Coturnix japonica: one gene and its partners. The protein of the gene in region 3 interacts with the protein of the main gene of each other region in a biochemical or structural test. Links are inferred from orthologs where the notes say so. Each region holds a gene or a part of one and is shown on either strand. Other genes may lie near its edges.

Region 1 (5,832 bases), on a different chromosome or scaffold from region 3:
TCCCTCTTTAGCTGTTGTAACTCTTGTTAGCTAAAATTATCCTTATCTGCAGTCCCCAGACTTACCAGGAGGAGGCGGTGGGTACGGATAGCCCCCATTGGCCACAGGTGGTGCAAAAGCATAGGATCCATTCGGCATATAGGAGTAGCCATAAGCTCCGCTGGGGACTTCACCTCTGGAGGCTGGAGAAGGAAAGATAAGGTCACTTCAGTAAAACACCAAGCTTGCAGAGAACAGAAGCCAAGACCTACAACAAACTTAAAGAGGCCTTATCTGAAAACCAAAGAAAGCAAAACAGAAAAAATCAAGCAAGGTCCAAAGCTAACAAACCCACAGCTTGCTGGACGTGAAAAAGGTGTTGTTTTAAGGCAAGAAAGTTCCAGATACAGCCTGAAATTCACGTACACTGGAATTGAACCCATCCCAGCTTAAAACTACCCTTGCTGTAAAATTAAGGCAAGGCCTCCTGAAACCACAAAAGCAAAGAGCAGAGAGCATTAAGCTCCCCTACCTTGGGATGCCACCTGTAGCATACGCTGCCCAAACTCTATAGCACCCCCAGCTGTAAAGGTCATCTTGAAGGTGGCAGATCCTTCCCAGCCGCCTGCAGGGAGAGAAAACAGAATTCACAAAGAAAGAGAAGCCATTTTGATGCTATTTAGCTTCTGTGCTTCACCTACAGAGGCCCTATATTTTTTTAAAGAGCTTATCCCAAATATCCAAGAAAAACCTGCAGAGAGAGCAGCAGAATTCCCTTTTGTATCAGAAAATTCCACATTGGACAACATTTTCTGATCAAGAGATACCTGAATAATAGGACCATCAGTAAGGGAGACATTCAAAAGCTTGCTGAAGTTGTGCCTATCACACAGGCTGCCAATAGCTCAAGCTATCAGGAGGGCTGAATTTACTCTAGCTTTGTACTTGATTAGTGCAGAAGACAGGGATTCTGTTAATCCCATTTGCTAGAAGGGTTTTGTAACTACACCTAACTGCCCACTGCAAATTAGTTTGGGAGTCTGAGCGCCCAGTGAAGCAAAGAGCTTAATGAAAAAAACAAGTATCGCATAAATCCATTAGAGTTCATAGAAAATATTTCAAGTCAGGATAATAATAATTAAAAAATAAAAACGAATTAGCCACTTCTCTTATTACAGGCTAAAAAAGAAAACCACGCACAGCCCAGAGTGCCAACAATGCATCAAAGCAGTAGCTGTGTCAGTAATGAAACAGGGATACAGAGATAAAAGAGCCTTTTGAGCTAAGCCAGACTCCTCTGGCTGTTGCAGCAACATCCTCATTAACTAAGCCAGCCTCTGGGGGGGGACTCACAGAGATTTTGTTAAAGCAGTTTGCCTTTCACACAGTTTAGTGTTTGTCCTTAGTGCTCAGCTCTCCTCTCACACTGGATGGTCTTGTTTTGCTGCCATAGAAAAGCTACAAGGCTGATTTCAGGGTAATAGGCTGAAGCCCTCTGAGCAGTGCACTGTGTTGCAGTGCCACAGCTAAGGGAATAAATCAGGCTCTGGATGAAATAAGTGCCTTGGTAAGAAGTAGAAGCATAGGACAGTGATAAAAGTATCTCTTAGGAAAAAAGAAGTCTACCACAACTCCTCATTGAACATATTATAAAGCTGCCCTTGAACATTCCCTAAGCTCAAGGTAATCCATCATCTTCCAAACAATACAGCAGTGCTTTTCCTAAACTGCACAATAAACGGATGTTGGAGATTCACACCTCGAAATCCGTACAGATCCAGAACAGACCGCGAGTGTTTGGCACAGAAGGATCTGGATGCATAAATAAGAGAGAGGCTGAACTGACCAAGGCCAAGCAACGCCCTCAGTGCTGCTGTCACAGCCTGATCCCTGCTCTGATGTTTACTCAGTGAGATCACTCGGCTGCCTGAACTCTGAATTTCATACAGAGGGCAGGAATGAGATCAGTTACACAGCTAATCTGTTCACTGTAACTGCACAGAGCTGACAGGGGGGAATATTTTCAGCCGCTGGTTTCAAAGAGAAAAACACATTTTAGCAATACTGAAAGAACCTATGCATCCAGTATCCACTTCACATTACAATGAATAATTACTTTACTAGGAACTATAGAAGTTCTGCATCTTAGCTCAGCTTTGTATCAGTGCTATACGTACCTCCTGCCTCTGCTTTCACTGTACCCTTGATATAGTTTGCTCCAAAGACAGGCTGCTTAATCTCACAATCTTTCAACAAATAAAAGGCCATCCCAAAAGACTGCAGAGCATCCTTTCCCTTCGATATAAAGATAACCTGAAAAAGAAACAACATTACAAAGGGTGTTTAAAATGAACAGGAAACACTGCCCCGGTTTATTATCTGTGGACATTGCTGGTGGACTGAATCTGCCTCCCACACTCAAAGATCCTTGTAATTTCTGCAAGCCCCAGGGTTCTCAGAACTGTCACAAGGGTAAAATGATGCCTCAAGGCCATAAAGCCTTCCAGAAGGATTACACACTTGCTCAGATAACACTCCTCCCAGTTCCTAGAGAACTCACAGCTGTGATTTAGTAGCTGAACTGCTCCATTCCGCATTTCCAAACCATCGCTCATTTCCAATCTTGAAGATGCCTGGTGGACTAAAACAGCTGCCCAGGTAAGAACTAATGTCATGGTTGACAACTAATCAGATTGATTATCTTTTGCCAAATAGGCAGGACATGCAATGAAGCCACAGTGCTCCCCACAAGGGGAGGACGGGTACATTATCCAGACCTTCATGCACGTGTAGAAGTGCAGAGCCATGAAGAACTCTGATCTCTTTCTAATGCCTTTTACTACTTACTCGGTAGGGAGTCAAGAAAACACTCCCTTTCTTGGTCCCTTTGAACGCCTCAGGCATCGGTTCAGCATCACTGAAGGTCATTTCTACATGATCATAGGTCATCAGAACGCTGCAAACAAGATGAGAAGAGGCACAGTGTTAGAGCTTGGGGCAGATTCCAGCACGTAGAGTTCACTGACTTACCAGAACTGCCTTAACCTCAGCCCAGCACCCAGCACACATGCTCACTCTGCCTTGCACTTCTGCTTGCTCTCAGCCTCGTGTTCCTTCTTCAGTGAGCTGATACAGCTGTTTGCACAGCCGGCTGGTGAATCCAGTCAATTAAACTCAAGTTCTCAATGTATTTCTTGCATTATGTTGAATTTCTGCCCGATCATTTCCCTAAATTGCTTCACCACAAGCAACACAACACAGGTAGGGCTGCTTAGCAGGAACCCCTCAGCCTGGGTTATGCAATGAGGCGACCAGAGGTCACAAGAATCCATCTCAGTCACTATAACGTGATTGGGATCATTCCTCTTCTCACTCCTATAACCCCACACTGACTCCTTAAGCCTCAATCAGAAACCAGCCTGATTAAGACCAATAAAACACATCCATATGGATGCAGGTAGTATTGTCTTAATATGACAACATCCACGTCAGGTAAACCAGGCCCTAATGGTGTGCACAGCACATTTAGACCTATTACCATCCCCAGTCGTACAGAAGGGCACCTGGGCCACGAACCAGGGCCTATATGACGGCAATGAGCCACATAGGGTTAAACAAGGGTTAATGAGCCACATAGGGCACACCAAGGGTTAACCCCAACATGGCGGGGGGGGGGGGGGGGGGCGGGTGTTAGAGCCCCTCAGCCCCATATGACCCGCAGGAAAAGGCCATTTTGGACGGAAAGGGGCTCGGAGAAGGAGAGAGAAGAGGGCTGGGCCCCTGACCGCTCACCTCTCGCTGTTGTTAACGATGACGCCGCCGCCCTCCGAGTGGTTCCTGTTCAGCGCCATGTTCAGCGCCGCCTCCGCCTCACAGAGCCGAGCTCGCACTGCGCCTGCGCGAAGAAGAGCCCGCTGGGCGCGCGGTGCGCTCTGGGATTTGTAGTCTCGAGGGGGTGGTGTTCCCCGGGCATGCTGGGAGTTGTAGTCCTCTCGCTCGGCAGCCATGTTGGTTTTTTGGGGTGGTGTAGGTCGCTCCTTAAGGGTTATTTTCTGCCCCAAATCTCACCGCTTCACTCAGCCTCGTCTGCCGTCCCCGAGGAGCAGTGCCACCAATTAACGCTGCTATTAATTCCCCGAGCTCCAGCCAGCTGCTGAGATCATATTGACTTTGCTATACACAACCCAAAGAGCCGGGCTCCTTTTTGGGATAACCCATTTCCCATCCCATCAATCACCCCATTCTGCTCCCTCTGACCATATATAATAAAATGAGCTCAGTTCTTTGCAGCCTGCGTGACTTGGCAGCTCTTCTGCCAGCTTCCTATTTTAGATAGTACCACAGAGCTCACACAAACAAAGCACGGTTTGCCCAGTGCCCTGACTGCATTCCAATTCCCTTTTATTTTCCCCTTCCAGGACTTTATCTTTGGCTGCACTTTGCACGTTTTCATTGCTCACAATGAAAACGCCATTAATCTGGTTATACTGTGCACTAAATGAGGCTCAACCCCTTTAAAAGCAAAGGTTCCCCCCCACTTTCCAGGCTGTTTCAGTGCCCATTTTGTGTCCCAGACACCTGGGTTCCTACAATTAACCCACTGAGGGTTAAACTGGAGGGGCCAAAAAGTCACCCCATAGACAAAGAAAGCTGCTCTGTGGGCGAGAGGAAATCCGGGGACAGGAAAATACCTGCACTATTGGCACAGCTACAGTTTGGGTATAACCCACTGCCTCCAACTGGAGCTGACTCCTAAAACAATCATAACACCTGCATAACTGCATTAAAACCGCTGCAGAATGACATGTTTTGAAGGACTCCTCGTATCAACCCTCAGCATAATGTGTGAATATGTTTTAAGAGGTGATATGAGGCTAAATTACACCTTTTTTTTTGTATGGATTTGAGCTTTCCCTGCAGGGTTTGCAGCCCAGCCCCTCCTCCAGTGCCTGCAAATCCCCAGGGGCAGCGAGGAAACTGAAAGCTCCATAATGGAAACCAGACTGAAATCAACTCAGAGACATAAAGCGTACAGTTCTTGGCAAGAAAAGCACAGCTTTGTGCCTTTTGTATCCGCTTTTTCAATAAGCTGCAAGTTTCCCTTTTAAGAAATGCTCATAACCAACAGCCCCAATTCCTCTCCTATTAAAGTCAGTAGCACACATACACAGCTTCCCCCAATGCTCCCTGAGCTAACAGTGCCCCCAGTAATGCTCTTCTCATAGCTCTGGCTGACGTTTGGTATTAAGAAACTCAGCCTTCATGTCAGGAAGTGCTGGCGTGCATGGGAAGCTCCAGAACTTCATGTATACAGATTAAATCATCGAGGGAAAAAAACATCTCATCTCTTCAACTTTGTTATTTCCAAGCCAAGGACAGAAGTCGAAGGGAGACAGAAAGAACTGAAACAATTCATTGCTTGGAACCTCCCCAGCGCTGTCAATATTGTTGTTGGATTCCAGGATTCTTCCGTTTCTTTTGTAATCGAGCAATAGGGAAATAAATGGGTGATTGGCACAAACCCTGCAGACACACTTGGAAAAGAAAACTTCTGTTATTCCCTGCCGGATGCACAGGACACAGAAAGAAAACAAGCAGAGAATAGATAACAGGACAACTGCAGTGGTAATGTTTAATGGTGGATCAGAGCCTCTATCGCCATCATTTTATTCTGTTATGGTGTCTCCACACACTGTAAGAGGTTCGATAGTAACTGCGTATTTTAAACGTCTAATTAAAGAGAGGAACACTGTGTGACAGCAAAAAACACAACTCAAAGGAGCAGGGAAAGGCTGTTTAAATTGCAAAGTGCTGCTTATCTGAACTCACCACACGTGGTGCTCACAGCAAACA
Region 2 (5,971 bases), on a different chromosome or scaffold from region 3:
GTCCTTATGCCTGCATGTTCGGTGGCTCAGTACACAAGAAGCTGGTTTCCATATTAGGCAGCTGGAATTACCTTTCACCTAACAAAGCACAAAGCCTTGCTGCAGTATTTAGGACCGTATTACCATTCTTCTGGACATTAATGCATCACAGATAGAATTCAGCCCAACTAAGCCCAGCACAATCCTGATACCTGAGATAATAGTCAAAACAGACATTTGCCTGCAAGGCTGTGTTCTACTGTCACACAAGCTTTGCAATGATGCTGGACTGCAGCTGTAGCACTGTCTGTTCCAAGTCCTTTAACCTTTACAGAATGAATTTATTTTAATTCTATAACTACATTGTTACACAGAATCACCAAAACCTTCCAAACCCACCTGAGAAGTACAGCTGCCTGCAGAAGCTGCTGTTTCAGAACAAATCAGTATCTATCTACCAAGAGCCAGATGGAATCAGTGCCATGTTGCACAGAGGCAGCACAGCTTCACCCCAAATCCCAGCTCTCACCAGGTGCAGAGCAACACGACCAGTGGGGTGGGAAAACTCTGTGACTTAGTTCTGTAAGCCCCTACTGTTCTTATGTCAAAGGACACCACCGTTCTCATCTGGGTGCACAAAAGAGAAAAGAAAACAACCTGCCCTTTCTTTATCTCCCTACCATTCTTACCAATTGCAGGTATCTTCAGGCAGCACATCTTCTGCAAGCACCAAACGGCTCACCAAAGAAATGAAAAGCCACCGACATCACTAATTCTATCTGCTAACGTTACAAGATATGGGATATTCTGCACACCCACTGCAACTGAAAAATTAAAGACGAGCTTAATGCGAGCACAAGCTGGTAACTGATGTCTCCTTTCCTATCTCATCTCAGCCTTTCCAGGCAGAACACAAGCACTGCAGTGCTCTGTGGGTTCCAAATGTCCTCACTCTCCTATCTCAGGCAGCACATTTCTTCTGCAGTTCCACCAAAAGGAAACCAAACAAACGGAGAAATCTTTCTTCTTTACATTTCCCATAGACGCCTCCCATAACGGAATGATTCATGATCCATGTCAGCCTTCAACAAGTGGAACTGGAAGAAATACCACTTAAAAAGGAATCTGTTTGTATTATTTAACACACCCACCATTTTCTAGGTGGGTTTACATTACTCATATACATCACATATATCTTCAAATGCTTCCAGTAAAAAGCAGTTAACACAGAATGTAAATAAACCTATTAAAAGCCTAAGTATTTTTTCCAGAACAGAGGCTACTTTCAGCTCTAAGCACAAGATACAGCTCTGACACTGAGCTCCCAGCCCAGGGGATGCGCTCCAAAGGATTTAGGCCACCTAAACCCAGCAACATCCTGCATAGCCTTCCCAAAAGCAAGTCCAAGCAGCAATGGCATCATCCCCAGTCCTTCTGGGACACGGACTGCTGCATGCTGCAGCCTGCCCTGCTCCCCAGCACCACATCCTGCCTCTCACAGCCTGCACCGAGGGACAGAACCAGCCGCCCCACCACCCCCAGCACAGCAGGGCACACATCCCTCCATGGGTTTTGCCTTAGCTCCATTTGTGATTCCTCAGTGCGTTCAGCCAAACCGCCATAGCGTTCAGAAGCATCATCGCAAGCTATTTTCTGTTAGATTACCTAATGCCTGAATAAAGCACGAGGGCTGAAGATTATAGAAAACAAATCACGTGCCATAAGCACCCCTTTAACATAGCACACACAGAGAAACAGACACAGGTGGTGGAACAGGCTGCTGGGGGATGCACAGCCCATGCGCCCACATGGGCCCGCAAGGAAGAAACACGCGGGTTTTGAACTCAGCTGCTTATTTATTTCTGTTGTCCTCTGTGCTCAGTACCCCTTCTTCTGTTTGACAGCACACACACAGGGGATCCCACCCCTCACACTGTTCCCACACACACAGCTCCGTGCATAAAACCCCCATGGGGATGGATGTCAAAGTGCCACGCAGACAGGGCAGCACATTCAGGAGCAGAGCAGCTGCCCAGTTATGGGGCAGCCCCCAATGACACATCACCCCCCCAAAAAAAAAAAAATGTTCTCGAGATTTAGAATGTTCAGTTCTATTTCACTGCTTCATACTCCAATAACTTCAAAGATTAAATGGGAGTATTGGTAATTTCCAAATAATGCCTACACTTACAGATCCTGCATCCAACTCCAGCCCTTACGGATAGGAGCTACCAATAGAGATAGGCTACCAATTCTTTAGACACTCCACTGGCAGAAATTGCATTTGTTAGATGGACAGCAGTATCTAAAAACCTTGACATGTTCATGTTGGAGAGGTTCTCCCACCCTCCCATCTCGCCTCCATCTAAACACGAGCTCTGTATCTCCAGTTTCACAGCTCGCAGGGATTTTCCAGAGCAGTGCAAGCATGAGAAACCAATAACGTGCTTTACAACAACACAGATACCAGAGTTCTGACAGAGGGCAAGGGGGGGGAAAGCAACTTTTAAGCAGCCCAAAGTAATTCCATCTGTATGTTTCTCATCCTGCACTCAATTACAGCCGTCTTTCCCCAGGACCTCATCTTTAGCAGAACGAATCCTCTGGGGCACAGACTGCCTCTCTAATCTCTGCTGTACCACGCAGTGCTGCGCTCTGCAGCACTAACAGTGTCTGTTATGTGTCTGCCCCACGTGCGAGTGAGACCTGGTGAAATGACAGCTTCCCATATTTCTCTCTAAGGGAATCAGTGTTGTTCTTATCAGTCGGGCCTGGAGTGCCACCAAGAACAAGGTGGGAGCAGCCTTCAGTGATTGCTGTCACATATCTTCATGTGCTCAAGACGGCAGGACACAAAACCAGATCCCTTTGTAAAGAACATTTATGAGGAGGATTCTCAGGGCTGACAGGCAGTCAATTAGCAAAGAAACCTGCTTATTTGTAGCCAGCGTGGCTGAGAAGAACAACAAAGAAATAGATTGGTCTTCATGAGTGAAAACATTTGTGTTTCACAGGGAAAAAACTGCAAGATTTACTCAACTTTTACAAACCTGGCGTGTCAAAACCAGTGACATCCAGCGACAAGGATGAGACCAACACTTTGTCCTAAGAGAAGCTGCACCTGGCATTGTGAGTAGAGCACACAGCCACCAAACTGCCACCACAACAAAGCCGCAGCACAGCGGTACCCCCGGGGAGCACCAACAGCAGCCCACGCTTATGGGGAATTTCTCTCCCTCACCGTTAGCAGTGAGGGAGAGAGCACAGGGCCGGGCTCACACCGCCCGCTGCTGCTCGGGGGCTGGGCTGGGTTCCTGTCCTTCGGGAGGCCGGGAAGGAAGAACGCGCACCTGGGAGCTCTGCAGGCACACAACCCGGCCTAGGGGGATTTCAACCCGAGCCAGAGAGCACCGCGCTGAACGCACGAAACTAAATTAAGGCTCGTTTCAACACGACACAGCACGAGTTCGCTGCTGGGAACAATCGGCGCGGAGCCGGCCACCCGCAGCACGGCAGAAGGAAGGGCGGCATCCCGGCAAGGTCACCGCTGTGCCACCGCGCGGCCCCGGGGAGGGGCGGGGCTCCTCCGCCTGCAGCCCGGCCGTGCCCGCGCCTCGCCCCGCCGACCCCCGTCCCGCAGCGTCCCGCGGCCTCCACAGCCCGGATGGGTGCCGAGGCCCCGCGGCCTCCGAACGGACCCCCCCCCGCTCCCGCGCGGCCTACGGAGCCCCCTCCGCCCCTCACCTGCTGGTAGCGGCCGCTGCTGGGCTCGGCGGCCGCCATGGCGCTGTGAGGGAGAGGGCTGAGCGGGCGGCGGGGGCTCGGCGCTGCCCGGCCGCCTCCCGACGGAAGCTGCTGAGGCGGAGGCCGCGCAGCCGAGGCCTCTTCGCTTGCGGCTCCGCTCCCGCCCTCCCTCTGCCCGTCACGCTCGGTCGCGCCCTCCCCCCGCCCCGCCCCGCCCCGCCCCGCCGGCAGCCGGAGGCCTCGGGCCCGAGAGCACCGGGGCGGGCTGCTGGGCCTGGGGGTGCCGGGGGTGCTGTGCAGGGGGGATTTAACACTAGCAATCCGAAAACTCATGGTACCCCGTGCTGGATGGAAGTGGGTGCCGCCTTCATAGCAGGGTGGGACCGGGATGTGCGGACTGCCACTGCCCTGGAGCTGGTCACAGAATCACAGAGCTGAGAGTTGGAAGAGACCCACAAGGATCGCTGAGATCACCCCCTGGGTCCACACAGGGACACCCGAAACCGAACCCCGTGTCTGAGAGCACTGTCCAAACTTCCTGAGCTCAGCAGCCCCGATGCCATCACCATGCCCTGTTCCAGGGCTGTACCACCCTGTCTGTTAACATCAGTTCCAGACCTGATGTTACCTGCTCCCAGCACACACACAAAGCATTGCAGCCAAAGCAACCCTGAAATGCTGGCCAACTGCTCAGGAGGTGCTGTGAAATCCTGAATATCCACATCAAGCAGATGGTGCTGCAGACCCAAAGCCTTCCGGAGCAAGCACTCATCAGAAATCACACTGGGTTATACACTTGTTTATTCTGAGTTATTTTGCATTTGGTGTTATACAGGTTGAGGGGTTTTCCAGCTTGTCTAACCCTTGTTTTGTGCTTGTGCAGTTCATCTACAGCTGGGCTTGTGCAAAACCATCCACATCAGTCCCTAAGGTTGATAAGACTTAACTATATCTGCTTTAGGATGAGGAGGGCTGAATCAGCCCTAATGGGATTCTGAGCTGTCAATTCAGAGAAAGAATTCAATACAAACTCTGTCATAACTGTGTGATTACAGCTCTCCGTTCAGTACCATGCCTAGCCTGGGATCTGCTCTGTGTTCCTCATAGGACTGCATAGTTCACCCAAGCCCTAAAGAGTTGGGTAAACATTGCAGGTATCCTGCTAAGGGACAGGCAGGAATTGCAAAGGACTTTAGCCAAGAAGAACCTCCAAAAGAGGCTCCCGAGAAATGCTGTAGGCACAAGGAGAATGCAAGTTTATTGTAAGAAAAATAGCTCTGAAGGAGTTGGAGTGAGAGCTGAAGGCGCTGTCACAGTGTTCATTCCCCCTTTCTACAAGATCCACAGTTTGCACTGAGAATCTTCTTTGCAGTAAGAAGCTGCCCTGATGATGTACGCGGATTTGCTGTTGAGGTAGGATTATATCCCTAAGTATAGCTACAGCCACAGTGGTAATTAGCTTTATGCTGATTGACTTGGACATCTGAAAGACTAAAACCAGACACAACCTGTGCATAACCTCAGCAAAGATGCTGGACAGTATCCCAAAGAGATGGTGAAACAGTTTGTGCCAGTCATTAGCTGGAAGCATATCAGCACCTAATTAGGCTAACTAGCCTGAGCACGGCTGACACGGGGAGCTGACAGCAATTTCTTCCAGCTGCTCTCGGGGTATTTGTCTTATTGTATGAGGGACAGCAGCTCAGATGATTCTGTGGTTACAGCACATGACTGGTTCTGCTTTCATTTCCTGCATGGTTTTAGGCAAATCACTTCATACCTCTGTGTTTTCTAAACCTTCTTCCAATACAAAATGTCTTTTCTCCCAGGAGATGCTCTGAAGCTTGAAGTCATTGCTTGTCAGTGACCTCCGCGTAGGATATGGGATATGCTGTGGAAGTGTTTGAAAGCAATTGAAAATGTTAGAGGGCTTCAGTATGGAGAGTCCCCTGAAACCCTTAAGCTCCACAAGTGTTACTTTGATTACAATGTATGACTGAACAACAGAGGGCACTTTTAATCTATGCTTTGTAACAGTATTGAACTCTAAACTATAAAGCTGGGGGGGGAGGAGGGGGTTTGTTAAAGCTAGACTTGTTTAAACAAGGAATAATCAAGACATTAAAACTTAGTTCTTACTTGCTGTCTTCATAGCAGTAAATGATTCGCCTAAGGAAAACCTGAAGACAAATGTTTGCATGAGTTAATGGATCAAATGAAGCCTCTGAAGCTCTCCGCTGTAATAGCT
Region 3 (5,684 bases):
TCTATTCAAGGTCTCTTAGACCTGATCTGGTTTTACTTTCTCTTTGTATAAGTTCAAAGATTACCAGGTATCTTAGCTAACGCTGAGAGAAAAAATACACCCAGCCCCTGACAAAAACCTACATCTATAAATAAAAGTAAGCACAGAGAACAAAGATTTTACAGAGCTCAACCACCTTCTCTTAAGAGTCCCAGGTTCTGTATCGTAACCCACCCAGCCTAATACCTGAGATCAGCACAGCTCCAGAAACGATGCCACTTAGCATTCCCCCTTTTCAACAAGAAACAGTGTTTCACACAGCAATACTTCAATGATCCACCTGAAGCAAATAGGCCTCTTCTGCTCAGTGACACCACTATTTAAATCTAAGCTCCGAACTTCAGAATCACAGATCTAAATGCAAACATGTAAGTACTGCTGCTTTGCACTGAAACAATAGGCACCTTCCAGGAGCAGTTTAGAATAGCTCAGGCAGGTGGGCGGAAGGCAGGCGTTATCAGTTCCTAAATGGGAGGACTGGCATAAAATGTTTTTTAAAAGGGAATAGCACACTAACATAGCGCCGGGTTGTACTGTTGGGTTTGGTTCATTTTAAAGGACAAAAGATTTGAATAACCAGCGTAACAACATCTCAGATCGTGTTTCCTCAGAGGGGGGAAAATCCTTGATGTTTATCAGGAAGTTTGTTCTATGTCCCACTATAGTTAAAGCAGAAATTCCAGGCATAACTTAAAAGGGGGCCCTAAGAAACAGGGCCTTGGTTACTTTAAAATGCTCTTTCCCTGTCTGTCGCATTATTTTCATTTCTATAAAGTGTAATTTGCAATTCTGATGAAGAAAAAGATCAATCCCTCAGCTGCACAACTCTGCCCGATGAAGTAAAAGCTGGAAGCCAATCACTTACACAACACTCAGGTCCTTATTGCTATTTTTCTCATACAAAAGGCATGAAGAGAAACTACCATTCCCTCTCCAGAAGGCAGGCATAGAATTAGCTCTGGTGACAGCCATTCCACAGCACAAAAACACAAACAAGCTGATGGCCTAAAATCATTAAAAATACTTAATTTGGGAGGCAGTAAAAAGTAAAATAAGCCAAACAATCCTCCCAAGCAAGACTGTAATCCCGGCTTGTCTGCTTCCTCTTCTGAGGTGAGCCCTCACTTCAAAGCTCACCTACAGCACAACAAAGAACAGTTACTGAAATCGACCCAGGCAAGTGCTCTGCTCCAAGACATACCTGCACATTCACGCTCCTTAGCTGTGAGGGCTCAAAGGAGTTCCTCCACTTACACACAGAATGACAGAAATTAGAACATTAAATGAACACAACTGGACTGCCAAACAGAAAGGCTTAACAACGAGCAGCATCAGTGACAGCGCACCCAGAAGCTCCAGCATTGCGCTCCCCTCCTGCTTTAACCCCACTGACATCTTTTCCTTTATTTTTTAGGACAAACTGTATTGCTTTTGCTGCAATACAGAAAGCATTTTAACAGGGTTGAGTATGTTTACTACTTTGTTTATATATCTCTCGCATTTACAGATGTTTCTGTAGACTCTGTCACTGACTGATACCGATAATGCCATTAAATTATCTAACTCCTGCAGATGCAAACATTTTTTCAGCCTCACTTAACACTGTTTTCAAGCAGCCCTAATGCAAGTTTTCTTAGAAACAATGAGAAACAAAGCCTCCAAGAGAAGCACCTCGCTGCTCTAATACCTGCCCTCCCACCTGCTGCTCAGCTCTGCAGTTCACTCTCACAAGCTGTTTTGAAACGTCCAACCAAAGAAACCAAACAACTCTGTATTTCAGGAAATGGCTCATCACACACACACATAAAACACCCTTAACTTTACAACAGGAACAAAAATAGAGTGAAGAAAACGAGGCGATGTCTGTTAACTTATAAATTCATACGAATAATCTCTCGATCTCTCTTAAGACCCAAAATAACTGTTTAATCTGTAAGAAGCTTTCAAAGTTAGCACTCAGAAGTCTCAGTTATTTTCCACTGCAACGTCACCTCTTACACATACGGCATCAGTTCTTTGTTTTAATACAAGAAAACTCACTCCAGGTTAGAATGCCGCATATTGCTCTGATGATCACTTGGAGGTGAACGTATCCAGAGCAGTGATTAAAGCTGTCAGTCAAACCACAACTAAGAACGCACAGTAGACCAAGTTCGGATTCAAATGGCTGTAGCAAAGAGTAATATAACTGTAATTAAATTAGAACTGCTTTGGACTTTCACTAGAAGAAGAAAGAATTAAAATTTGTTCTTCAAACAAGATGTCTGAAAGGCAATAAAACCCACTGAGCTAATGACAGATTGCAGCCGATGTTTCATTCTTCTTTATGCATAACTTGTTCGGGTCAATTCAAGCAGTAGCTGGACCAACTGCCAGCCAACTGGCTCTCGATACTAATTGTCTTCTCAGGAATCCCAGTTCACATTTCTCCTCCTTCCTCTGCCAAAAGGATGAGGGTAAAGGGGCAGAGATTAAAACAAAGAGCAATGAGGAACACTGAGAAAAAGAATGTTTCACAAAGAGAACTGTTTGTGATCCTTTCTATCCTACCTGAGCTATAAAGATTAACTTCTCTGGGAACATCTTCCGAAGCTTCAAGGGTAAAGAATGCCACGCAAATGACAACAGATGGCCCAACTGCTACACTCGGTTTTCTCTCCCCACATACATAGATGCTAAGCTTGTTTATCAGTTTAACATCACAGATTACACCTATCGCAACAAGCTGAACTCCTGGATTTCAGAGCCAATCTAATAAAGGCGTTCACACCCTCAGACGGCACCTTCCACTCGTGCTTGGTTGTTATTGCCACACAAGGTCACAGACCCCTGTGAGGAAGCAGGAGAGTTAACAGCCAGAACTCGGCCGTGTTTCCAAAATAAAGCGGCGGCAACAGCAAGAGGGAACACACACCTCCAACCACACTCGTGCTGGGAAACGCTGCTTCATGGCACAGCTGTTATCCCACAGGAACAAAGCAAAGAACTCCACACAGCAGCCTCCCCCGGCCGAGACCCCGAGAGACAGACAGGACGGGGCTGAATACAAAGGGAAGGGGCCGTGTTGCGGAACTGCCGCTGAGAAGCAGCGCCTGGGCCGGGAGCGATCCCGGAGCGCCGAAAGGGCCAAGTGACCGGTCCCGGCTCCCGGGAGCCCGGGCAGGATGGCGGAGGCCGAGCGGGGCGGCGACACGCGCTGCCGGGGAACAGCGGGGCCGGGGGATGTGGGCTCGTGCAGGAGCCGTGCAGCCCCACACACAGGCCAGAGGTCCCGGGACCGCCGCCGCAGGCACGGAGCGATACCGCCGGCTGCGGCCGGGCCCCCGGCTCGGCCCGGCGGGGAGGGGACAGCGCGGCGCGCCGAGGCCGCTCGGTGAAGCTCCGTGGGGCCGGAGCCCCTCAGGCGGCCGGGCCTACAACCGCGGGGTCCCCGCGCCCCCCGCCCAGAGCCGAGGAGATCGGCGGAGCCGCAGCGCTGCCCCTGGAGCTCCCATCCCCGCCGCCACCCCCCGCCTCCTCGTCCTCCTCCTCGTCCTCGTCCTCCTCCTCCCTCCTGCCCTGCCCGTGCTGCAGAGCCCGCTCCCCTCACCGCGCACGGCGCCGTTCAGCTCCTCCGTCCCTCGGCCAAGATGGCAGCCGCTCCGACCCAACCCGAGGCAGCGACTTTCCAAAGTCGGGCGCAATCTGCGCACGCGCGGAGTCGCCGGAGCCGCCACGGGGTGGAGGTGACTACAACTCCCAGCGTGCGCCGCGCCATGCTCCGCGCATGCTCAGTGCGCCCCGCGGTGTCGCCCGGCGGGGTGGGTTGTCGGGTGCGCGGCCGAAGTGATCGGCGGGTCACACACAGCGACGGACACAGGGCAGCTCACACAGCACAACTAAGGCAGCATCTCTGCAGGTGAAGCCCAGGCCAGCACGCAGCTCTGGCTGCTTTCCCCAGCAGGACAGCACCCAGCGCCCTGTTTGCATCACATCTGCTAAGGCAGATGTGGATTAATGACATTCAGTATCACTTTTCAGATACACCATGTAAATTCTCTGTTATCAATATTTTTCCTCCATTTGTAACTTGCACTGGGGCTAAAAATGTTTTTTCAGCATCAACAACCCTAATCTCTTTTTCTATTTTCCAGCTTTTGATGCTTCAAGTCAAGTTCCACCAGTGTTACCTGTAACATCCATAAAGAATGCATTCCGGGTGCACACACCACTGATGATTTTCTGCTTCCAGGACAAGATGAATGTTGTGAAATCATCCCATTCAAACTCTTTCAGAATTTTCCCTGTTACAAATCACAGCCTTTATATGAGCTGCTACACCAACACCGAATAATGACTTAACACCAGACTGAGGTAGCAAATGCAGATGAATTTAATTCAGTGGCAGAAGCGACCCCAGCACCTCCTCCACCAAACTGTGTTCCAAGCACTTGCCCCCAGTGTGTCCTGTTGAATTGGGGCTGCTCCCTTCCAGAGGCAGATCTTGGACCATTTATCTTTGTTGAGTTTCTTGAGATTTTATCCACATTCATTTTGGACTTCACTGTGTCGACAACAAAAAGGCAGTCCTGGTACTGAAGGGACCATGGTGACCATGGAAGCAATTCTGATGGTGTGAACAATTACCTGTTCTGGGCTAGACACAGCCCCAAGCAAATATCATACAGTGACTGTTGAGTAGTCATCAGATGTCATCAATTTCGATTAGCTGCTAAGCTACTTTAAATCTTTAATAACGGCTTAACACTTCTGCCTGCCTTAAGGTTTTGTGCAGCTGCTGATTTAGAGGTGTACGAATATTTCATTTTCACAGCATTTTCTTTATGACTGCATTTCAAAGTACTTTGTAAACATCTATAGAGCAAGTCTTCTTAAAAACAAGTCTCCTGGAATTTGTTTTAACTGGATCATTGCTGCAGAGAATGAGTTATAATTTAAGATCAAACTTATTTTGAAATTATCATCTTTAAGAAGAGATTATTTTTCGTGCTGCCTTATAATCAGTTGTTTTCACTTGTGAACATAGACATAGTGTGGTGGTAGAGCGTGCATACTTCTAACCACCTTTAAAATCAGTATTGATTTCTTTGGTTGGGGATTTAGGAAAATATCAGTAGGAAAATATCAATTAATTCCTGCTAACTGAACAAAACCTTCAAGGTTGGCAAGACATTGTTATTACTTCCAAGTAATCTAATTAAAGGGTAAAACAAAGACACTTAATTATTTTATCATTCAATTGATCTCCAGTGCATAATCAGAGAACCAGGAGGAAGTGATTAGCTGTCTTGGGAAAGGAAATGACACAGTCATCCAAAACAGGATGTTTTAAAGGGAGGATAAGATACTGGGAAGATCGTTACTGTCTTCCCACACAGAAAGCTGAATGTGATTTTTTCCTGGGACTGAAGAACATTAAACAACAAATCTGCTGGGGATTTTTTTTGGGAAATGATAGGGAATGCTGATGCTGGGATGTGTGAAACAGAATCATAGAATGAATCATAGAATAGTTTGGGTTGGAAAGGACCCTTAAGGTCACCTCACTCCAACCCCCTGCTATAGGCAGGGACACCTCCCTCTAGACCAGGTTGCTCACAGCCCCATCCAGCCTGGCCTTGAACACCTTGAGATAGGGGGCACCC
Region 4 (5,954 bases), on a different chromosome or scaffold from region 3:
CACTGGAAATAATTTACATACACTTTAACTTGAAATAATGCTGCATTTCTCATGTTTGAGAACATGGTTAGTGTGGTTTCTTGGTATCCTAGGTTGGATAATACTTACAACACAGCAGAGCTCGGTTATTCCTATTTCCAGTGAACCATGTTTGTGTCAGAGATGAGTCGCACTTCTGGTTCCACAATACGCTGTGATTTAACTACATCCTCCCTGTGTGCTTTTGCCGGGTGAACTAGACAAGTCTGCCCACTCTAACAAGTCCACGTCAAGGAGGATTCGGCAGGAAGATTAAATAAAAGCATTTAGAGAAGTACCTCAGCCTTCAAAACCCTCAGGCTTGACAGCTCTGGAGAGCAGAAGAGCTTTACATTCTGTTGTACCAATCAGCTGTTAAAGAACACAAAGTTCTCAGGCTGTAGGAAGAACACATTTTACCCACACAGCTCCTACACCGACCTCCTGGTGCCATAGTTCTGCTGACCCAGTGCTACACATTCAATGCTGCTGGGTTTATTCCACCCATTGGAAGTTCAGAGGGATTTCATTTACCTTTTTTTTCCCCCCCCATCTCTTACCCATAAGAATAACTGGGCAGAGGCAACACAATGTCTCACTATTACCCAAACATGTTTTTCAAAGAAAAGAAAAGGCAAAAAGCCTCACACCACAAACAACAATAAAACACAACCAACCATACACCTGTATGAACAAATACCTCTTCTGCATTTTAAGATAACTCCAGAAGCTGCTGAAGCTTACAGTCAGGTTGATCTGAAAAGCAACTATTTGGCTTCACTGATAACTATCTATGCAGGAGGGCCTCCCTCCAGCTCTAAGCCTCCGCTCAGCTCCAGCACTGCCCTCAATGGCTGGAGATCCCCACTCAGTATTTCCTTTAAAACACTGAAGGAAAACAACCAGCCAATCTAACCCACATTCTGACTACACTGATTTGAACTGCTCTCGTGCCTCGCTGGGGGCAAGCACATGTAGGTATAAGCCAGTTATATCAACCCTGTGGCGATATGGATCATTATTCCATCTGCAGACGTTGACCCTACTTAGCATTAAAAAAAGCCAACAACAAAAACACACACCCTATGTTCCTCAACTCTTCTGCAACCATAAGGGCCTCAGGTCCAGTTATCCTCCCTCCACACCAAATAACAGCCCTGACTTCAGATCTCTCACAGTTTGAACAACACTGATAAAGGAGTGACCTCGACCAGTTTAAATGAGTTCAGATGACGTAACTCATCTCCACTTTGCTGCCCTCCAAAACCCAACCATTAAGTACAACCCAATCACTCACCACACTCAATACACAACCCAAAGCTGCATGCAGCATTAGGACTGAAATATCAGTCCCATTCAGTAAGAAAAAAACCCTCAGCATTGGTTTTAGTTTTGAGGCAGGTAAAACAGCGTGGGTACAATGAGGGATACACTGGAGCAGATGAGAGCTGGGAGAAAACAGCAGCGGGGGGGAAGGTGAGACCTCACAAGGCTCAGTCTCTGCACTGCACCTTCAAGCAGCCTGCCATTAGAAAAAGCAGTTCAGGGCCTTGCTTCAGCTCCATTCAGATACAGCAGAGATTATCAAATATGGAAGAAACAACATATTTCCCTTTCCAGGTCAGTAACTACTCCAGGCTGAGCTCCTGAAGAATTTCAGACTCCCCACACACTTCAGTGCATACACTCAACCACTTTCTATGCACAGAAGCACAAAAATTACATAAAAGTATATGCACATTTCTGTATAATTTATGTATATATTATTTATATATTTTAATATCTCTAAGTAGATGTAGGAAAAAAAAAGTACTGATGGTACTTAAAACCCAAAGGCCTCACAAAGGGGCTGCACGTTACATGCAAATGGCCGCAGTGCCCAGTTGACTCAGTATCAGTAATAAGGCAACTGGAAGGGTTCACTGCTTTTACACGGCACGTGAAGCTCTCAGAAGAGAGAGAGCAGAAAGACTGAGGGCTTCAGTCAGTCTAAGAGCCTGCAAGTCCAGCAGCACATCCAACCAACCTTCATTCAGAGGGCAGGTCATAAAGAACTACACAACACAGGCGGTCTGAAAGTTTCTTGATGGTCCCTTTGACACTCAGCTCAAGTTGGGAACTTCCTTTCACGGTGTACAATTATTTAATTAACACACAAATTCCAGACCGTCTCAGGTCACCAAACGCTTGTTTGTATGAAGCTAAAGAGCAGCCTCAACACCATCTCCTCCCAGTGTGATCACTTACAGAAGAGAGAACTGTTGCAGAAGCAAGAATTTTTGGAGCTCCTGGTTTAAGCCTATATATATTGATAACTGCTTATGTGAACAAGTAGATGCCCCAGCAGATGTTCAGGAATGCCGTAACGCCTGCTGGGCCCACTGACACGATCACACCGCGTGGAGGAAATCTTTTTATTTACAAAAATCACCTTCAATAAGTTTTAGCCCACCGTGCCCCGCTGCTTGGCCGGGCCTCAGCTCCACCTCGCTCCCATCACTCAGCGCCATGCAGCTCCCGCACTCTGTTATGCAACTCCGCAGTGAGCAGAGCCCTAAAGCCACCGGGGGCCGCATCCCTCCCGCAGGGACCCCCCGCACGGCTGTGACCCGTCCCTCCGAAGCGCTACAGAGCTCTATTTGCCCGGCTTTAGGTACACCTAGCGAGCATTTCCTTATCTGGCTATGGAGCAACTCATTTTTACGTAAGGCGCACAGCAGCCAGCGGAGCTGCCCGAGGTGCCGGCGTTGCTCAGGGGCGGTTCGGAGCACACACGTGCGATGGGGGAGGGAGCGTTCAACCCCCTCCCTGCTCCGCCGGCTCCGTGTCTCTTTAAATCTGGCAGCGAGCGACACATGGAGCTGCATTGTGCGCCCCGACAACCAGCGCATGCGCGGCGCCGCCGGGCCGAGCCAGGACCCCACCGCGGCCGCAGCCCGGGCACACGGAGCAGCGCGGGGCCGCCCGGGACACAAAGGGAGGGGGAGCCGCCGCTATGGGCTGCCGGCCCGCAGCACCACGGGCCGCTCCTCGCCCCACTGCGCTCACAACAAAGGGGGCAGCGGCCCTTCCTTCCTCACGGGCACGGAGCGGGGGGCGGGACGGGGGCAGCTCAGGTCCCCGCGGCGAGCTCAGCCCTGAGGCGCCGCTTCTGGACGCGAGGAGGGGGAGGATAATAAAAATCGAAGGGAAAAATATATATGTGTTATATATTATATATAGAGCCGCCATACAACTCCCACCTCCGCTTCTGACAACACCGCGCGGCCCTCCCCGCAATGCACCCCCACGGCGAGGCCCAGCGAGGGGACAAGAGGCCGCGGAGGCCCGAGCGGAGCCGCTGCCGGGACGGGAACGGCGGTGGAAGCGCAGCCCCCACAGCCCGCTCCGTACCGAGCCGGCCCCGCTCCCCTCCCCTACTCCCCTCCCCTCCCCCCGGCCGCGCTGCCACGCTCCCCCTCCCCCCCCGGCCTAGTTCCCTCAGCCCCGGGCCGGGCACTGAGCTCAGGGGGGGTTGGTGCTGGTTAGGCCGCCGCCTCCCCTTCCCCCTCACAGCCGCCCCGCTCCCCGCCGTCCCCCTCCTCCCCCTCACGACCCGTCCTGCCCTCAGACTCCGTTCTCCCGTCTCCTCTCTCCATCCGCCGGTACCTGCTAGCTGTCTCCGCAGTAACAAGGCGGACTGGAGCTCCGTCATTCTCTCCCTTTCTATCCTCGGAATGAGTCCCGAGGACGGCGCGGCTCCCGGTGCTCCCAGAGCCCGAGGCGGCTGCGAGTGGCCCCCTCAGCCCGCCCGCACCGCCGCCACAGCACGCAGGGTCCCTGCCAGGGGCGCGCGGCCGTGGCTCCGTGCCGCCCTGCTCCTCCTCCTCCTCCTGCACTCCGCTCTGCGCAGACGCACTTCGAGCAGCTACAGGCCCTTCCGCGCCGCCATCTTAGGAGTGGCGGCTGAGCTGTGTGTGTGTGGAGGCGGGGCGAGGAGAAGCCAGGCCGCCATCCGTTTCGCTGAGGGCAGCGGGTCTCCTGAGGGCAGCAGCCTTCAGTTCACTCACGGCTTTTCCTCAGTGATGGATGTGTTTAAGCGTTCTTTGCCAACCTTAGTTGATTCTAAGGCTGCTGTGACATAAAGAGCCGTAACGTAACAAAAAACAGCGTTTTGTCCTCGTTCGAAGCCATCTCCCACGCCCAGAGGGAGCCGTGGTTATTATTTGGCTGGGGGAAGCAGTGCTGGCTGATGGAGAGTTGCTCGCTGTGCGGGATTGCTGCGCTGTGGGGCTCTGAGGGGCTCTGTGGGGTCTGTGGGTGGCTCTGTGGGGTTCTGTGGGGTCTATGGGGTCTGTGGGGTCTATGGGGTCTGTGGGGTCTATGGGGTCTGTGGGGTCTGTGGGGTCTATGGGGTCTGTGGGGCTGTGGGTGGCTCTATGGGGTTCTATGGGGCTCTATGGGGTCTATGGGGCTCTATGGGGTCTATGGGGCTCTATGGGGTCTATGGGGCTCTATGGGGCTCTATGGGGTCTATGGGGTCTATGGGGCTCTGTGGGGCTCTATGGGGTCTGTGGGGTTCTGTGGGGCTGTGGGTGGCTCTGTGGGCTCTGTGGGGCTCTGTGGGGGCAGCACGGGCTGCTATAAGGTGGCAACGGTGTCTGAACGCCACCTCAGTGAGTGCCCGCCTGGTACCATGAGGTGAACGCGGTACCCCCCGCTGGAGTCTCTAATTTTACCGATTTTACGACTAAATTGTTAAAGAAATGCAGTTTCTGGCCGATTGGTGAGCAGTTATCATCATCGGAAACTGGGAAACTCCCCGCTCTGTTGTAAGGAGCTGCTAAAAAGGATTTATCCTGCTCGAAAGTAACACTCTTCATTGTTTTCGACCACGAGGAATTCCTATGTGAACATCAAACTTGGCTTTGCAACAAGAGTGAGAAACCCAGGATAGACGAGATGCTTTACTGGCAATGCTGGAATCTTCTCCCCTTGTTGTAATTCCGGTTATAGTTCGAGCGTTTCATTACTGCACTCCAACAATTAATCACAAAGCCATTCTCAGGCATTCCGGCAATTCTGATTAAATCCGTGTCCTCTTCAATGATTAAACTAGGATGAAAAAAGACATCCCGCAGCATTACTGAAATTCATCTTATAAATGGTGTTTGTAGCCAAAGGAGGTCTTTGTGGAAGTCCTTCCTGCTGTAGGTTAACTCCAATTCCCAAATGTATTTATTTGTTTATATTTTGTTATTGCTTCAGTCAGGCTCGCTCAATCTTATAAAAGCAACCTACCCATTTAAACATAGAAAGCTATCATGTGCAAGTTCATTTTGTAAACTTGATATGCTAAGAGACAGTCACCCAGATTGGAATTCAGGCGTGTTGATGGGAAGTGACATTATTCAGGGTGGTATTTCTGTTGCAGGAATACAAGGTAGGCTCTGTTCTCAATGCCAGTTAAGCCAGCACTAAATTCACTCAACTTTCTGTACCTGAGTCAATTCAGGCATGAGCACACGTTTCTGACAGTGCTATTAATAGAGGACCTAACTACAGCACTGCAGACTGAAAGGTTACATAAAAGAACTCTATTTCTATTACAACGTAATCAAAATAATCCTGAATTTCACCATGAGGTCACTCATTGGCAGTCACCTTCCTTAAGAGGGAAAGTCTCCCATGGCTTATGTATGATTTCCTTGTGAGGAACATAAAAGACTGTGGGCTGGAAGAGGAAGGATATGGTTTAAGCAAGCATAGATGACCTGGATTCCTTTATTCTACCAGCATCTTGCTTTGCTTGACTATCTTTTATTTGACTTTCTCTCTCAGTCCCTCGCTCACAAGTCACAGATTACACTGGGCAGAGCTGCTGTTCATGGGAGGATCTTCAGTCTGGATTCACACTGTTAGCAACATCTGCTCCTCTTCTTCAGCTCCTTGGCACA

Evidence for each region.
Region 1: the proteins of ITCH (region 3) and WBP2 form a complex in vitro, tested with the Homo sapiens proteins (2 studies listed by BioGRID). The link is inferred for Coturnix japonica from reciprocal best matches to the Homo sapiens genes ITCH and WBP2.
Region 2: the proteins of ITCH (region 3) and NDFIP1 form a complex in vitro, tested with the Homo sapiens proteins (2 studies listed by BioGRID). The link is inferred for Coturnix japonica from reciprocal best matches to the Homo sapiens genes ITCH and NDFIP1.
Region 4: the proteins of ITCH (region 3) and UBE2G1 form a complex in vitro, tested with the Homo sapiens proteins (2 studies listed by BioGRID). The link is inferred for Coturnix japonica from reciprocal best matches to the Homo sapiens genes ITCH and UBE2G1.

Annotation. Positions count from the first base shown.
Region 1 is NC_029533.1:4,035,152-4,040,983, reverse strand, and holds the start of WBP2 (WW domain-binding protein 2), read right to left. Parts: upstream 3,907-5,832; 5' UTR 3,831-3,906; coding exon 3,772-3,830; intron 2,936-3,771; coding exon 2,827-2,935; intron 2,293-2,826; coding exon 2,157-2,292; intron 605-2,156; coding exon 512-604; intron 183-511; coding exon 66-182; intron 1-65. UniProt on the Homo sapiens protein: Acts as a transcriptional coactivator of estrogen and progesterone receptors (ESR1 and PGR) upon hormone activation. In presence of estrogen, binds to ESR1-responsive promoters. Synergizes with YAP1 to enhance PGR activity.
Region 2 is NC_029528.1:1,053,844-1,059,814, forward strand, and holds the start of NDFIP1 (NEDD4 family-interacting protein 1), read right to left. Parts: upstream 3,907-5,971; 5' UTR 3,763-3,906; coding exon 3,724-3,762; intron 1-3,723. UniProt on the Homo sapiens protein: Activates HECT domain-containing E3 ubiquitin-protein ligases, including NEDD4 and ITCH, and consequently modulates the stability of their targets. As a result, controls many cellular processes.
Region 3 is NC_029535.1:1,378,582-1,384,265, forward strand, and holds the start of ITCH (E3 ubiquitin-protein ligase Itchy homolog), read right to left. Parts: upstream 3,745-5,684; 5' UTR 3,629-3,744; intron 1-3,628. UniProt on the Homo sapiens protein: Acts as an Acts as an E3 ubiquitin-protein ligase which accepts ubiquitin from an E2 ubiquitin-conjugating enzyme in the form of a thioester and then directly transfers the ubiquitin to targeted substrates.
Region 4 is NC_029534.1:2,221,685-2,227,638, reverse strand, and holds the start of UBE2G1 (ubiquitin-conjugating enzyme E2 G1), read right to left. Parts: upstream 3,907-5,954; 5' UTR 3,713-3,906; coding exon 3,667-3,712; intron 1-3,666. UniProt on the Homo sapiens protein: Accepts ubiquitin from the E1 complex and catalyzes its covalent attachment to other proteins. In vitro catalyzes 'Lys-48'-, as well as 'Lys-63'-linked polyubiquitination. May be involved in degradation of muscle-specific proteins.